Linked DNA regions of Nothobranchius furzeri. The protein of the gene in region 3 binds, or shares a complex with, the protein of the main gene of each other region. Links are inferred from orthologs where the notes say so. Each region holds a gene or a part of one and is shown on either strand. Other genes may lie near its edges.

The links. Proteins that work in one complex are often made in the same cells at the same time.
Region 1: polr2eb (region 3) and taf1a share a complex: the UniProt entries of both Homo sapiens proteins name them as parts of the pol I pre-initiation complex. The link is inferred for Nothobranchius furzeri from reciprocal best matches to the Homo sapiens genes POLR2E and TAF1A.
Region 2: polr2eb (region 3) and ercc3 share a complex: the UniProt entries of both Homo sapiens proteins name them as parts of the TBP-based Pol II pre-initiation complex. The link is inferred for Nothobranchius furzeri from reciprocal best matches to the Homo sapiens genes POLR2E and ERCC3.

Annotation. Positions count from the first base shown.
Region 1 is NC_091742.1:8,330,386-8,334,980, forward strand, and holds part of taf1a (TATA box-binding protein-associated factor RNA polymerase I subunit A), read right to left. Parts: intron 4,558-4,595; 5' UTR 3,981-4,557; coding exon 3,937-3,980; intron 3,679-3,936; coding exon 3,524-3,678; intron 2,062-3,523; coding exon 1,898-2,061; intron 1,766-1,897; coding exon 1,652-1,765; intron 1,574-1,651; coding exon 1,375-1,573; intron 1,227-1,374; coding exon 1,108-1,226; intron 1-1,107. UniProt on the Homo sapiens protein: Component of the transcription factor SL1/TIF-IB complex, which is involved in the assembly of the PIC (pre-initiation complex) during RNA polymerase I-dependent transcription.
Region 2 is NC_091749.1:40,317,058-40,321,652, forward strand, and holds part of ercc3 (general transcription and DNA repair factor IIH helicase/translocase subunit XPB), read right to left. Parts: coding exon 4,450-4,595; intron 4,379-4,449; coding exon 4,174-4,378; intron 4,058-4,173; coding exon 3,743-4,057; intron 3,631-3,742; coding exon 3,446-3,630; intron 2,677-3,445; coding exon 2,474-2,676; intron 2,387-2,473; coding exon 2,290-2,386; intron 57-2,289; coding exon 1-56. UniProt on the Homo sapiens protein: ATP-dependent 3'-5' DNA helicase/translocase. Binds dsDNA rather than ssDNA, unzipping it in a translocase rather than classical helicase activity. Component of the general transcription and DNA repair factor IIH (TFIIH) core complex.
Region 3 is NC_091748.1:48,493,822-48,498,960, reverse strand, and holds the start of polr2eb (DNA-directed RNA polymerases I, II, and III subunit RPABC1), read right to left. Parts: upstream 3,466-5,139; 5' UTR 3,063-3,465; coding exon 3,006-3,062; intron 2,645-3,005; coding exon 2,470-2,644; intron 2,286-2,469; coding exon 2,170-2,285; intron 1-2,169. UniProt on the Homo sapiens protein: DNA-dependent RNA polymerase catalyzes the transcription of DNA into RNA using the four ribonucleoside triphosphates as substrates.

The DNA of each region.
Region 1 (4,595 bases), on a different chromosome or scaffold from region 3:
GGGACATTGTGACAGGACACTCACACTGCCAAAGTTGGATGATTTTCAAAATAAGAGACTCCCACGTGTGGCATTAAAAAAAATAAATAAATCACATTTACCAGTTTTAGTGTTTGGCGCTTGGCTACACGGCAAAATCTACACTACAGATGAGAAAATCGTCAAATATTTCAAGATTAGCTCAGACCAATCGAGATCACAATTTCAGACTGGCTACACGTCACATCCAACCGGCAGAATGTCTGACCAAGACATTCCATCACGTTTAATATCCCGATTTGTGATCGGGAGCAGTCCTGCAGTCCTTCCGAGCAGACCAGAGAGCTATTAACACACCACACACGGCAGGAATATCTGATAAAACTATCTTTAAATCTGTTACAATAATCAGGCAGATCCTTGAGATGGTCAGGAGGAGAATTGGGAAAGAAACTGGCGTGAAATGGTGTTCTGTCCAATCACCATACGTTGTCAAGATTAGCATACGCGTGTTACAGCATACGCCTGACAGCACATGTCTGTCAGATCATACATTTAAGCTATATGACAATGTGATAGGCCACTTTGTCCATCAGATAATCATACTTGTTTAAAACGACCGTACGATCCCTTGACTTGTCCATTTGATAAATTTTAAAGCTTTATTTTCTAAATGTTTAGAATTAGAAGGTAGTAAAATAAAAGTGTGATACACAATCATCAGTTCATTTTTGTGGTAAAAAATTATGAACACAGTCGATAAACATTTTCCTTGTACTTTGTCGTTTGTATGCTTGACTCACAGCTCCTCGAACATAACATGACATAGTTGGACGCTGCTCCGTTAGAACACTGGGCCAAAAGCTCCTTATTAGCATCTCCAACACTTAAGGAGGTGCAACAAGATCAAACTCAAACTCATGCGATCTGTTAGGGCTCTGATGTGAATGACTCGACTACCAACAAATTTTAGCTTAACATCTGTAAAATGCACGTCGCTATTTTTGTGTCAGCTAGCATCATTTAGCTCTGGCCGCCTTCTAAATGAAACTTTAAAACACACTGCAGTTGCATTTTAATCAATCCAATCGTGCTGTTTTACAACGCCTGCGACAGATGAGCGTTTACCTCGACATAACTCAGAATGAACGGATCCCAGACTCCTGGACTTTTCAAAATCTCTTGTAGATGCACAGAAGCTTGTCTGAAATAGTTATGCAAGTCTTGGTGATCAGAGTCAAATGGATCTGAAAAAAAAAAAAAAGAAATAATTTTTTTACAGCCAGCTCTGCAGCTTGTCTGCTGCACATGCAGTTACTTTATTTAACCGTTAGAGGGCAGTATAGGACCACAAATCAAACAAGTCAAACAGGCATAAAGGATGCCGCTTCTTACTATTTTTAGAGCGTGTGCGCCTTTTGTCACACCAGATTATATAATCCAACAAGCTCCTGTAGGCCTGGATCAGTTGAACCTTGTGATGCTGAGTGGCCGACTCCTTCCCATATCGCCAGCTTTCGGCGACTGATAGCTGCTGCTTTGCCTCTTCCATCTGACCATTCAGCAGCAGGTGGAAGCAATGCTCCAGGCAAATCTAAACGCACAGACAAAACGGTGTTTTCATAAAAAAGCTAAATAAAGTGCATTGCATCAAGTATGTCGGCCAGCATACCGTCAGGTAAAGTTTAACCCCAGAGTGTTTCATCCGTTCATAGGTGATGTTGCAACTTTCCATCGTTGCTCTGGGATGATGGTGAAGGATCTCGGTGCAGATTCTCCAAACAACCTGGAGTAAAGATCAACAAAATAAAGAATTAAAAAGCTAAATGTGGTCAAATATTTTATGAGGATTTTGTATATAAAAACTTCAGTGTGAATGTTGGTTCAAAACAAATATAATAAAACAAAGTTAAGTCACCTCTTTATACAGCACAGCTGTGGCTCCGTTCCGGTCCTCTAGGATTTGAGGGTAGGACGCCATGTAGTCCGCTGCCTCTTGCCATCTATGACGCAGCATGGCTTCTCTGATGTGCTCCAAACACATCTGAACACTTCGTCTGAACCCAGTTTCTTTGTCCATCTCTGAAAACATTCATATTATTTGACCACTAAAACCCTTTCCAGGCATTTATGCTCTTTAAATATAAAAATACTCACACTTACTGCAGCTCTTCTCCACTTTTAAAGCAAGCTCATCTGTTTGCTTTGGGAGTTTATTTAACTGATGTTTGAAGGTTACAAAAAAAATTTCATTCTCATCATAAATAAGCCTGGTTTTGCATTTTAATGTAAGTCCATTTTGATTCTAGTGTAATAAATTTAAGAGTAATTCCCAACAGTGCAACTCTGCAACTTGCTAACATAAACTGGTGACTGTACTCATTAAAATATAGTAATTTTGACATTTTTAGACATCACTAATCGGAAAATTTAAGTTATACAAATTTTTGACTTTAGGACAAAGTTTACTTTGAGTCAGGGATGAGGTCCTGATCCAAGTGGAGGAGTTCAAGTATCTCGGGGTCTCCTTCACAAGTGAGGGAAAGATGGAACACGGGATCGACAGGCGGATTGGTCTGCATCTGCAGTGATGTGGGCTTTATACCGATCTGTCGTGGTGAAGAGAGAGCTGAGCCAATGATTCACCGGTCAATCTACCCTCACCTATGGTCACGAGCTTTGGGTAGTGACTGAAAGAATGAGATTGTGGATACAAGCGGCCGAAATGAGTTTTCTCTGCAGGGTGTCTGGACTCTCCCTTATAGAAAGGGTGAGAAGCTCGACCATCTGGGAGGGGCTTGGAGTGAGCCCGCTGCTCCTCCACATCAAGAGGAGCCAGTTGAGGTGGCTCAGACATCTAGTTAGGATGCCTCCTGGATGCTTTCCTGGTGAGGTTTTCCAGGCACGTCCAACTGGGAGAAGACCTAAAGAAAGACCCAGGACACGCTTGAGAGACTGTCTCACAGCTGTCCAAGGAACACCTTAGGAGTCCCCCGGAGTAGCTGGCCCGAGTGGCTGGGGAGAGGGAAGTCTGGGCCTCTGGATAAGTGGCTGAAAATGGACGGATGGTTTACTGGTGATGAAATACATGCGTCTGAAGTTATTCCTTAAAATATACAAATAAAAGAACATAAAACTTTGTTCAAGTGTATACGAATATAATGTCAGTTGATGATCTTATTCTGAAGAGCAACCCCTTAGTTCTCCAGGTGTGTTTAAAGCTGCCATTGCAGCACCTTTTTACAAACCGATTGCTTTTTTTTTTTTTGTTTGTTTGTTTGTTTTTTGAGAATGGATTGGTTGAGGCGGTACACCAATATGTGGTTTCTTATCTGGTAACCTAACCTGTACCAGCATCAGTTAGAAATTAACCAAACTACAACCTAAAGTCACCTCGATAAGCCACTAATCCTTCTTCGTAGTACATGACACAGGTCCTATCAGCGGATCTGGAAAAGGTTTATACATTCCACGTCTGCACAGTCTCTTTATTAGTATTACTAAGATGTAAAAGAAAAGAATGTAAGTGTGCTGTGCCTCTCACCTACAGACAGAGGTTTAACCAGAGGAAGCGTTGATTTATGCCCTTTTCTACAGCTTCTGTCTGAAGAATCACTGCCATCATCCAGGTTTTTGACAGTTGAGAAGTCTCTAACCTGGTCATCCAGATCCGCCATACTCAGTATGAAATTCTGGCACCTGCACAAAGAAATTAACACATTGAAAAAGCCATTTTCCAGTTAAGCTGATTGTGTGAAACGTACACATAATCAAAGGCATCTAAAACATGAATATTTCCATACATTTAAACACTAGAGCCATTTACTAGAATTTGTTTAACTCTATATTCTTTTAGAGAGACATGGCACTGCTTTCTATTAGTATCTAATTCTAAATGTAGAACACAAACATCTAAACTAGAGCAGGTGAACACCAACTCCAGTCCTCGAGGGCTACCATCCTGCTAGTTTTCTGTTTCCTGCTCTTCTTTCTTCTTCCATCTTCTTCTTCTTCTTTCTTCCTTTTTCTTCCTTCTTCTTCTTTCTTTTTCTTCTTCTTTCTTTTTCTTCTTTCTTCCTTCTTCCTTCCTCTTCTTCTTCCTCCTCTTCTTCTTCCTCCTCTTCTTCTTCCTCCTCTTCTTCTTCTTCTTCCTTCTTCTTCTTCCTTCTTTCTTCTTTCTTCCTTTTTCTTCCTTCTTCTTCTTCCTTCTTTCTTTTTCTTCTTTTTCTTCTTTCTTCCTTCTTCCTTCCTCTTCTTCTTCCTCTTCTTCTTCTTCTTCCTTCTTCTTCTTCCTTCTTCCTTCTTTCTTCTTTCTTCTTCCTCTTTCTTCCTTTTTCTTCCTTCTTCTTCTTCCTTCTTTCTTTTTCTTCTTTCTTCCTCTTCCTTCCTCTTCTTCTTCCTCCTCTTCTTCTTCTTCCTTCTTCCTTCTTCCTTCTTTCTTCTTCCTTCTTTCTTCTTCCTTCTTCTTCTTCTTCTTCTTCTTCTTCTTCTTCTTCCTTCTTCTTCCTTCTTCTTCTTCCTCCTCTTCCTCCTCTTCTTCTTCTTCCTCTTCTTCTTCTTCCTCTTCTTCTTCTTCTTCTAATAATAATAATAATAATAATAATAATAATAAATTT
Region 2 (4,595 bases), on a different chromosome or scaffold from region 3:
GAAGAAATCTGTATCAGAACGTTGGCTTCTGGCAAGTCAAAAGAAGTGTCTCCAACCTGGTAACACATTCTGTTATTCAGCATTACTATTAAATTACTGTGACAAATTGTTTTAGATCAAATCAAATATGTCTGAAGCAAATGTTAAAAAAAAAATTATTTGCACCAGGATTATCCCTTTGGTAACTTGAGTGTCTAATTTTGAGAAATTATTTAAGTCAAGTTAAGTTTGTGAGATTAGCATGTTATTTGTAACTCAGTTGTCCTAGTAGGTTCAGATGAGGGCATAGATGACAAATCTTGGGACAGCTTCTTGCAAAACATCTTCATAAATAAAGATGTCCAGTTGTCTTCTCCTGAACTTACCATGCCCTGGATGAGAACATTCACCAGCAACTTCCAGCTAACAAAAATAACTCTGACATCCTCAGCAATTTATGCATAAGGTCTCTAAATTTATATTTAACAGAACCAGACTGACCAGCTGGATGGTAAAAAATAAATGAATAAAAATACACAATGCAGCAAAAAGCTGAATAAAGCTGGTGTCTCCACCAGAGGTACAAAGTAATAGTTACTGTAATTGAGTAGCTTTTTTGTTTATTTGTACTTTTCAGTCATTTTAAAAGTCTGTACTTTTACTTGAGTATGTTTTTATTTTATTTTTTAGTACTTCATTACTACGTTACATCATACCCGTTACAGAGTCAAAAAGGCTTAATAATAAATTTAAGATCTTGTGCTTTGCAGTGTTGGAACAGGAAGAGACACCTGCATGAGCAAAGCGTCTCACCTGTGGGGGGTGTGGGTGTACACTTTTTATAATGAGGGCATTAAACAGCCACACTTTTGCTGCAGTTTTGCTCAAAAACATCAGTTTAAACCCTGTGATGCACTCGCTGTTCCCCCCTCTCCCTCCCTCTCCTGTTGGTTGAAACCCACACCTCCATGCACTGATGTTACGGCAGTATACTGCTCGGTTTGGTAGCCAGACGAGGTTCCGCCTTTGAAATGTATTCCTCAAACTGTTCCGCACGGCAGCGGCAAAAGAATATTCAGCTCATTACCTTAGTTTAATTAGTAATTCAAACATTCAAACGATTCTAAAATAATGCAGTGTGTCCTGTGCGTGCGTGCGTGTGTGTGCCTGCATGCAAGCGAGTTGTGCGCTAGTGTTATGATTTTGCACTTAGGTCCTTATTCTGACAAAAAAGTAACCTTTACTTTGCGTACATTTTAATTACAATACTTTTTACTATTGGTTGAGTACAAATTTTGGCTAATACTGTTACTTGTACTAAAGAATTATCAAAGTGTTGGAACTCGTACTTAAGTAGGAAATTTTAGTAATTTCCACCTCTGGTCTCCACTTCCTTTGAAAACATTAAAAAAAACACACACATTAAACAACAACACAGAAGTCTGTTAGTTTTACTCTGCTGCTTGACTGATTTTCACATGTAGCCACAAATGTAAAGACCTACATTTTTACCCGTGTTATTTTAGAATGTTTTGTTATTTTGTGCAAAAACATCTGATTTCATGAAAACGTTGTGATCTGCTACAAAAGCAAGTTAGCATGCTTTATGTTTAATTTTTAATTTGACCTATCTGGCTTACCAAATGAAAATTGAAGGAGAATCCAGGATAACTCATAATTACAGCCCTGAAGTTGCAATCTAATCTTATAAAATAAAAATGTTAATAATAGAAATCAACTATTTCATTTCCAATTGTAGTTTTACTCTTTACCTTTACATTTAAAGAGAGGGAAAAATAAGTTATTTCTCTGAATTATTTCATAAAAATATGAAATTCTGATACTACAACAAAAAAAAAGAGTTGACTTGGTTTTTTTTTTACCAAAGAATTGATTTTTAAATGCAAATTACACAGAGAACAACTAACATTACTTAAGTAATTACTGGCCTTGTTAATTTTCTGAATAAATAAATCGTATTTAATATACATAATACATTTTCATCAACAGTATTGTTACTTTGGACAAATCTAAACCCAAGGTTACCTGCAAGTACGAACAAACATCAAAGCTTTAGTGCAGAACAAATCACTGTATAAGCATTAAGCACTAAATACATTAAAATCTATTTTGAAGGTGGGACAATTAGTGTAAATTAAATGATGGCTAGGCTTGTTAGGGTGTTAGAGAAGATGTTCCCGGACGAGATAAAGCTTCAAGAAAATTCTTAAGGATCAAAGGGCACCCCTCCTTCGCACTTGGAACGAAAAGTGCGAGTGTGTGTGTGCGAGAGACGGGTGAACACTTCACCTTGGAGATGAATATGGTGTTGATCTTTGGGTTGTGTTTGAAATTCTGCAAAATCTGCATACGCTCTCCCTGAGAGGTGGGGCCATAGATGTAAGGCCTTGCATAAAACAACAAAAGGTATCATTAAAAATTTCAGGAATACTTAATGCAACAATTTGAAAAACTTCTGTCGCTGAAAGCTCACTTGTTGAGCCGAACGGCGTACTCCTTCAAGGCAAACACGTTGTCGGCAAAGACGATGATCTTGTCGTTGCGCCGCTCGTGGAAGCGAATGAGGAACTGGCAAGCCCGGAACTTGTTGGGGTTCATTGTGTAAAGCAGAATGCGCTTTTTTGTTTTAATGGCCACATACTCTCTGTAAAACTCTGGAGACATGGGGCACCACACCTGAAACACACACACACACACACACACACACACACACACAGGGATCCACTTAATCAGCGCTGTACAAACTTTCAGAAGTAAAAACCAGATAATCAAAACTTAAGTATATCTACTAAACCCAACAGGACACACAGTAGCTGCTGTCAAAGCCTTAGTCTTGATTTTAAACAAGTTAATCCTTTCAGTGCTGCCGTATCTAGTCATCTATTCAAATATCAGTATAATCTCTTTGATCGTCCACTAGAGCCCTCGGATCTTTAGAGAATGCCCAAACAAAAGGACAGCTATATTTATTTTCTTGTATCTTGGTGAAACTTCACCTCTCATCTAAAATGATTCTCAAATAAAAATGATTCTTCAATCTTCAACTCTTACGATTGCTATGCCCTTGAACCTTGAGGTTTGGAAAAGTTTTAGCTTGTAAATATGGTTCAAAATAGACCCACATCCAAAGCATGTTGTCATATTAAAACAACTCCAAATTCCCGTAAACAATAGTTTTAAAACCTGTTAAAACATTTGCATTACACACACTTGTTTTAGCAGAATTGCCAAGAAATTTCCAGTCTAGGATGCAGCAGATATTTAAAGAACCTCTAATCATAATGATCTGAAAGTTTATTGAGGTGTTCTTGAATCTCATTTTGGTTTATCGGCTCACTGTTTAATTACTGCACATCAAAGCTCTGGTGACTAGCTTAATGTTTTAAAAGAATACCAGTTTTACTCCTAAAATCTTCCATTTATGTTCTAGTGTTACAGGACCTACCTCTGCACACTGAACTTTGGCAATATAACCATTGTTCTGCAGCTCCATCCAGTTGGCTTCATACAGCTTGGGCCCAATGAGGAAGTTGAGGTCCACAATCTTGTCATCTTCCCTGACCAGTGTGGCAGTAAGGCCCAGTTTGCAGTGGGCCTGGACAATGGTCAGAACACGTCGGAACATTTTTGCTGCAGACAAAAATAACATTATTAATTCACATTAAACACAAGGTCCACGTCCCATTGCATTCAAAATAAAAAAATAAACGGTTTTATTATCTGGATTTTGCCGAGAGCTCACCAGGGATGGTGTGCACCTCATCCAGGATCATAAGCCCCCACTCCTGGCCCCGCATCCACTCCATGACCTTTTCAGCCTCCCATGATCGCTTGGTGGTGTGACCCAGCATAGAGTAGGTGCTGATGGCCACCGAGCAGCCAATGGGCTTGTCCTTGGCGTCGGAGGTGAAGCGGCAGATCTGAGAGTCGTCGATGGTGGACCACATCTTGAACTGGGCCTTCCACTGCTCCACAGATACAGACGAGTTACCCAGCACCAGGCAGCGCTTACGCACGGTGCACGCCGCTGTCACGCCAACCAGAGACTTCCCAGCACCTTCAAATCAGAAACAAGAAATCAGTCATTTGTTTTCTTGCTGTTCTAACTTATAGTCTGCATTTTATCAATAAACGTTTTGTATTCTCCTGGCAGCTCTGGACTAGCTTTCCTACCACAGGGTAGCACAATGACTCCTGATCGGGCTCGCCCGTTTCCAAACATCTTGCGCAGACTCTTCTCCTGGTAGGGCCGCAGCACGGCAGTGGGCTTCAGGTCTATGTTGATGTCTGGGTTAACTGTGTCATTTCGGAAGTCATACTCCGCTAGGAGGGGGTACTCCAGCTGGATACAACGCTTCTGTAGCTCTTCAATCATCTCCTGCAGCAGATGAAGCACAGGGTGTTGATGGTCTTCCTATTATTTCTGTAAAAAAACAATAAATGTGGTACCTGTCGAACTTCAAAGGACACTGTCTGAGTCTCCTCCTCCTCCTCTTCATCCTTATCCATCTGTTCATAGTAGCTGAAGATGTCCTCAGGGACCTGCTGGTTTGAGGTCTGTCCATCAACAGGCTGCTGTGAGGTGGATGGGTCTC
Region 3 (5,139 bases):
CAATCAGCAGTAAACAAAGCAGACTTCATTACTGCATATGCCAGTCACCTGTCACTTGATGCCCTGGCTCTCACTGAGACCTGGATCAAACCTGGTGACGATGAACCCAGCTGCACTCTCAATCAACCACACTTCTCATGCATCTGGCCGAGGTGGTGGAACAGGCATGTTAAGTTCCAACAAATGGAAATACAGTCAGTTGCTACCCATAACTAAGTACATCTCCTTTGAATACCATGCCATCTGGGTAACTGCACCGAAAATTATTCTTTATGGTTGTTATATATCGACAACCAGGACAACACGGAGACTTTCTAGATGAACTTGACACCCTGCTCTCCTCCATTCCTGAGCATGACTGTCCCACAATGGTCCTTGGAGACATGAATATTCATCTGGACAACCCCATTTCATCAGGTTTCCTGTCCTTAATGTTATCATTTGATCTAAAAACGGTACAAAGTTCATTCTCTGCCAGCATCACTAATGCAAAGAAAGCTTTCTACACTGACAAAATTCTCAGCACTTCTGACACTCAGAAACCAACTCCCTTCCTCCAAATCGTGTGGAGAACTACCGACCTATCTCTCTCCTCCCGTTCCTGTCTAAAATCATCGAAAAGGCGGCCTTCAAGCAGGTTGCAGAGCACCTCTCACAAAACTATCTGCTTGACCCATACAAATCTGGGTTCAAAAATGGCCACTCCACTGAAGCCTTAAAATAAGCTAGAGCGACTGCCCAAATCCTCAGTGCTTATCCTGCTTGACTTATCTGAATTTGACACAGTCAACCGTGGCTTCTTTTTGTCCATACTCTCTAGCATGGGCATCACAGGGAAAGCACACTCCTGGTTTGAATCTTACCTGACTCGGACAATCTTCTGCTGTTTACCATCTTGCCACAGGAGTCCCCCAGGGCTCTTTACTAGGACCTCTTCTCTTTGCCACATACACCACCACATTGGGTGAGATCATTCGATCGCATGGCCTCTCCTACCACTGCTATGCTGACGACACCCAGCTCTATCTGTCATTCTCGTCCGGACGACCTCACAGTCTCTGTACAAATCTTGGACTGTCTTTCTGATATATCAAGATGGATGAAATCTCACCATCCCCAACTCAACCTCTCAAAAACTGAATTACTTGACATCCCAGCAAACCCATCCATACGACACAATATCTCAATGCAAAACGAGCCCCTATCTCTGGCTCCTTCACACACAATTTGAAATTTGGGTGTTGTGATTTATGACCAGCTGACCTTTAACTCATTACCTTCCGGTCGTTTCCTGATCAGTAAAGCCCTTCGCTGCCAGAGGTTTTCAGCGTTTTCACAGTTTTTTGAAAAGTCACCGAACGTTGCACTCTATGATGATGTCAACGCCCAAACTACCAAAACAAAGAGTAGACTCACCTCTTACATCTGGAATAATCTGCGTGTTTAGAGTGTTATCCATTTTTTCATAATCCGTTGTCGAATTGTGATCGGCAGAAGCTTTTCTGGATCGTGCCTCACTTTTTTTTTTACAGCAGCAGCCCAAAACGATCTCCTAACACATGGATTTTTTGCTTCCTGATCATGTGACGTGTGATGTACATGGATAAAGATCAGCTTTAGAGCTGGGATGTTTGTTCTCACGGTACGGGAGCTCGTTCCGACACCCACACAGTAAAAAAAAAAATACAAATGATGACTTTAGTCATCAATGGCAGGAAATGAGTTAAAGATCAAGTTGCCTCTGTCACTCGTTCATGCCGCTTCATGCTGTATAACATATAAAAGATCAGACCATATCTAACAAAATATGCCACCCAGCTCCTGGTTCAATCTACAGTCATCTCCAACCTCAACTACTGCAATGCCCTTCTAACTGGTCTTCCTGCCTGTACTGCGAGATCTCTTTGACCTTGTCCATTTTCAAGAAACTCCTGAAGACCCAGCTCGTCAGAGAGCATCTTCTAAGCTAGCACCCTCCCTGCACCCGTCCCCCACTCTACTGTCCACTCCTTATTCACTTCCCTTTACGATTCATTATGCTGCCTCACTGCCACCTAGGATTGACTGATTAGTGTTTGTTGTAAGCCTCAAGGGCAACCTGCTGGCTTCATTATTACTTGTAGGTCTTTTGGACAAAAGCGTCTGCTAAATACATGAACATAAACATACCTGTTTTGCTGAAGGCGTCATGCCCATCTGAACAACGATGATGGCTCGAGTGATATTCTCCTCCTGCATTCTCTGACAGTACATTTTAATGGTCTTGATCCCCACCTTGGGTTCCTCTGGTGGGACAAAAATGGACAAAAAAAAGATGAATTCATAACAATTTTCTTCAAATCAAACACGCTTCTCTGTTCCAAATGTAATCACCCAGTTACTTCTAGAAAAGACTGATGCACTGAGCAAAAGTCACAAAAGTCACCTGGTCTCCATTTCTGTTCAATCTCCCAGTTAAAATAAACATACCGGGAAAGAAAACAAACATCTGGTCAGTGGGATCATCATTGTGTGCCACCAGCACCGTGAGATCTGTTCGTCTGGGACGACCTTCGCTCGGTTTGTCTCCAAACTGACTCTTGAACTCCTCCAGAGTCTGGTCCAACTCGTCCTGGGTCACAAGGTAACCTCGATCATGGCACAGCTGAAGGAGGAAAACATCAGAGAAGGTATCAGAAAACTCATTTAATAAACATTAAAATTAAATAATTCGTCTGTTATTTTGTCGAACTTAAACACACTTATTTAAATTTTACAGAAACAATTGTTGCAGTCAGGTTAGAGCCGCTAGTCTTGCTTCGTACTTTGGTAAACTGCTTAAAATACCAGTGGAACAAGTGTTGAACAAGCTAGTGTTTAGCCAGGCTGTCATAATGTTAAAATAAGGAGTACACAAGTCAAATTTAACGGAACTTCAGTGATAAAAAATACATTCATTCATGTTGAGCTAACGAGCTAAAAGAGGCTAACAAGCTAAATAAAGAAAACATTCAAACCTAACGAACCTGCATGATGGTTTTGCGGATCTTCCAAAGTCTATATGTTTCCTCTTCATCATCCATGTCCTGCTAAATAAGCTGTGTGCACTAGATTTGGTCAGAAAATGATTTTTTTTTTGTTATCAATATCGCTCTTTAAGCGAACGCACGTTTCCCGATTGACTGACACAGGCTGATGACGTCAGAAAAGCTGACCTGAAGGGGTTTGCTCCTTCTCTGCTTTGCCGGTGTTCATGTGCTTTTTTATCTGACTAAAGACCAGGAATGGGGTTTTTCGCTTGGTTCAGAGACCTTCTAAAGTTATTGCGCCTCTAGCATTTGTTAACGACAGTGCCATCTTACAACGAGGCTTTTCCAGCAAATTAACTTCAAAGACGTCATCATAAACCAGCAATCACCGCCGCTGTTCTGTTAGTTAAATAAAGATTTTCGCCACTAGAGGGCAGATTTGTGTCCCCTGTTGGATAATTTTAATTACATCATGTCCCCATTATTTATCAGTATGGAAAGCATGCTGGAGTCAGACCATTTGTTCGTTCTTACACAATCAGACTAGATGCATCATTGTGGATCAGTACACGGAAATGTGTCAAGACTGTGTGCGCCACGAATCGTATCCTAAATGAACAAGGTGTGAAAAGTGGGTGTTGCTGTATTTAGTCTGATTGTGTAAGACCGAACACCCCAGCAATCTTTCTGTGCAGATAAATAATGGGGGCATGATCTAATCCATGTCCCAGATAAAGTAAATAATTTATCCAACACCCTCCTCCTTCGATTTGAACGTTAAAGCCATCAAATGGTGAAACTCTGTACGACCTCTAATTGATTGTATTAGATAGAGGGTGTTTGTTTCAGTGCGAGTGACGTGCTGTACATGCTGCTTCGTGAGTAAACTCCCCCTCTCGCACAGCGCGCCGTGACATGCGCCAGAGACTTAATGGTGCAGACTCCATGATTTCCGACAACAATGCTCAATACAACAACAACGACAACAGTGATGATGATGATGATGATGATGATGATAATAATAATAATAATAATAATAATAATAATAATAATAATAATAATAATTTTACCCTTGGCCCACCTAGTAGCCTACAACGGGGCGGAGTCACGTGCAGCTACAACGAACAACCGAACAACGCATGGATTTTCGACAGAAGTGACCTTTTCTATAACTAAATGAGGCCGTTATATGTTGTTTTGGGCTTGGGGGCTGTGGCGAGCAGCGGGACACTACTGGCCGTGATTTTGTATTTTGTTTTATCCACGGCAGCGGTAAAGTAAACCTCCGTGATACTTGGCTTGTTTTATAATGAGATTTAGAAGTTGTGTAACTGAATATGGCTGCTGTGACATCTGTGGTGCCCTTGCGGGCACGATTGCAGACAGTATTTACACAGGCAACGCACTTCAGGTTGTGTAAATGTTGAAAGTCACGATAGGACACCAGCATTCCTCTGCATCATCCCCACCCCCCTGTTGCGACAAGCTGATAAGCCTATCATCATCATAGTATTAATACCTTCATGGTATAAACACTTTTCTGTTAGTTTTAGATTTATTTTTGTTCTGTGTCTAATTTGTGACCATCTTTGTAAATCAGAACTGTATTAGTAAATGATGTCATCACCTTCTCTAATTGCACATTTTCTGATTTGCTCAGCGTTTCTTCCTTCCTGCACTTTAACCTCATAAGCACACAATGCTGTTTATTCTAACAGCTTGAAACACTCATTCGTTTGTCGTCAGGGATTTATATGATTTGTTTGTTGGCCCTGACCGCGCTTGTGTAACAGACTGTTTTATATGAATAATCACATTATGCGTTTGATTGGACTTTTACCTTTCGCCCGAGTCACATGCACCTCATCTTTCTGTGAGTTTTATGACATAGCTATGAACTTTGGCCTGCAGCACGCGTGCTTTTGATCAGGGTTTGTTTTGTTAGGACCTAAGAGAGGAACCTATTGGAGAAATCCAGCTTATCATTTCTGGTCATTTCGACCCGCCCCTTGTACATTAAGGCTCTGTCAGATGTGAGGTTCAGCAGTGAGGGGGTTGCTCTGACAGATTAGATTGTTCTGTAACAGAGAAGCTGAGAGAGGGGCAGCCATGCGCCTGTTAGGGTGCACAG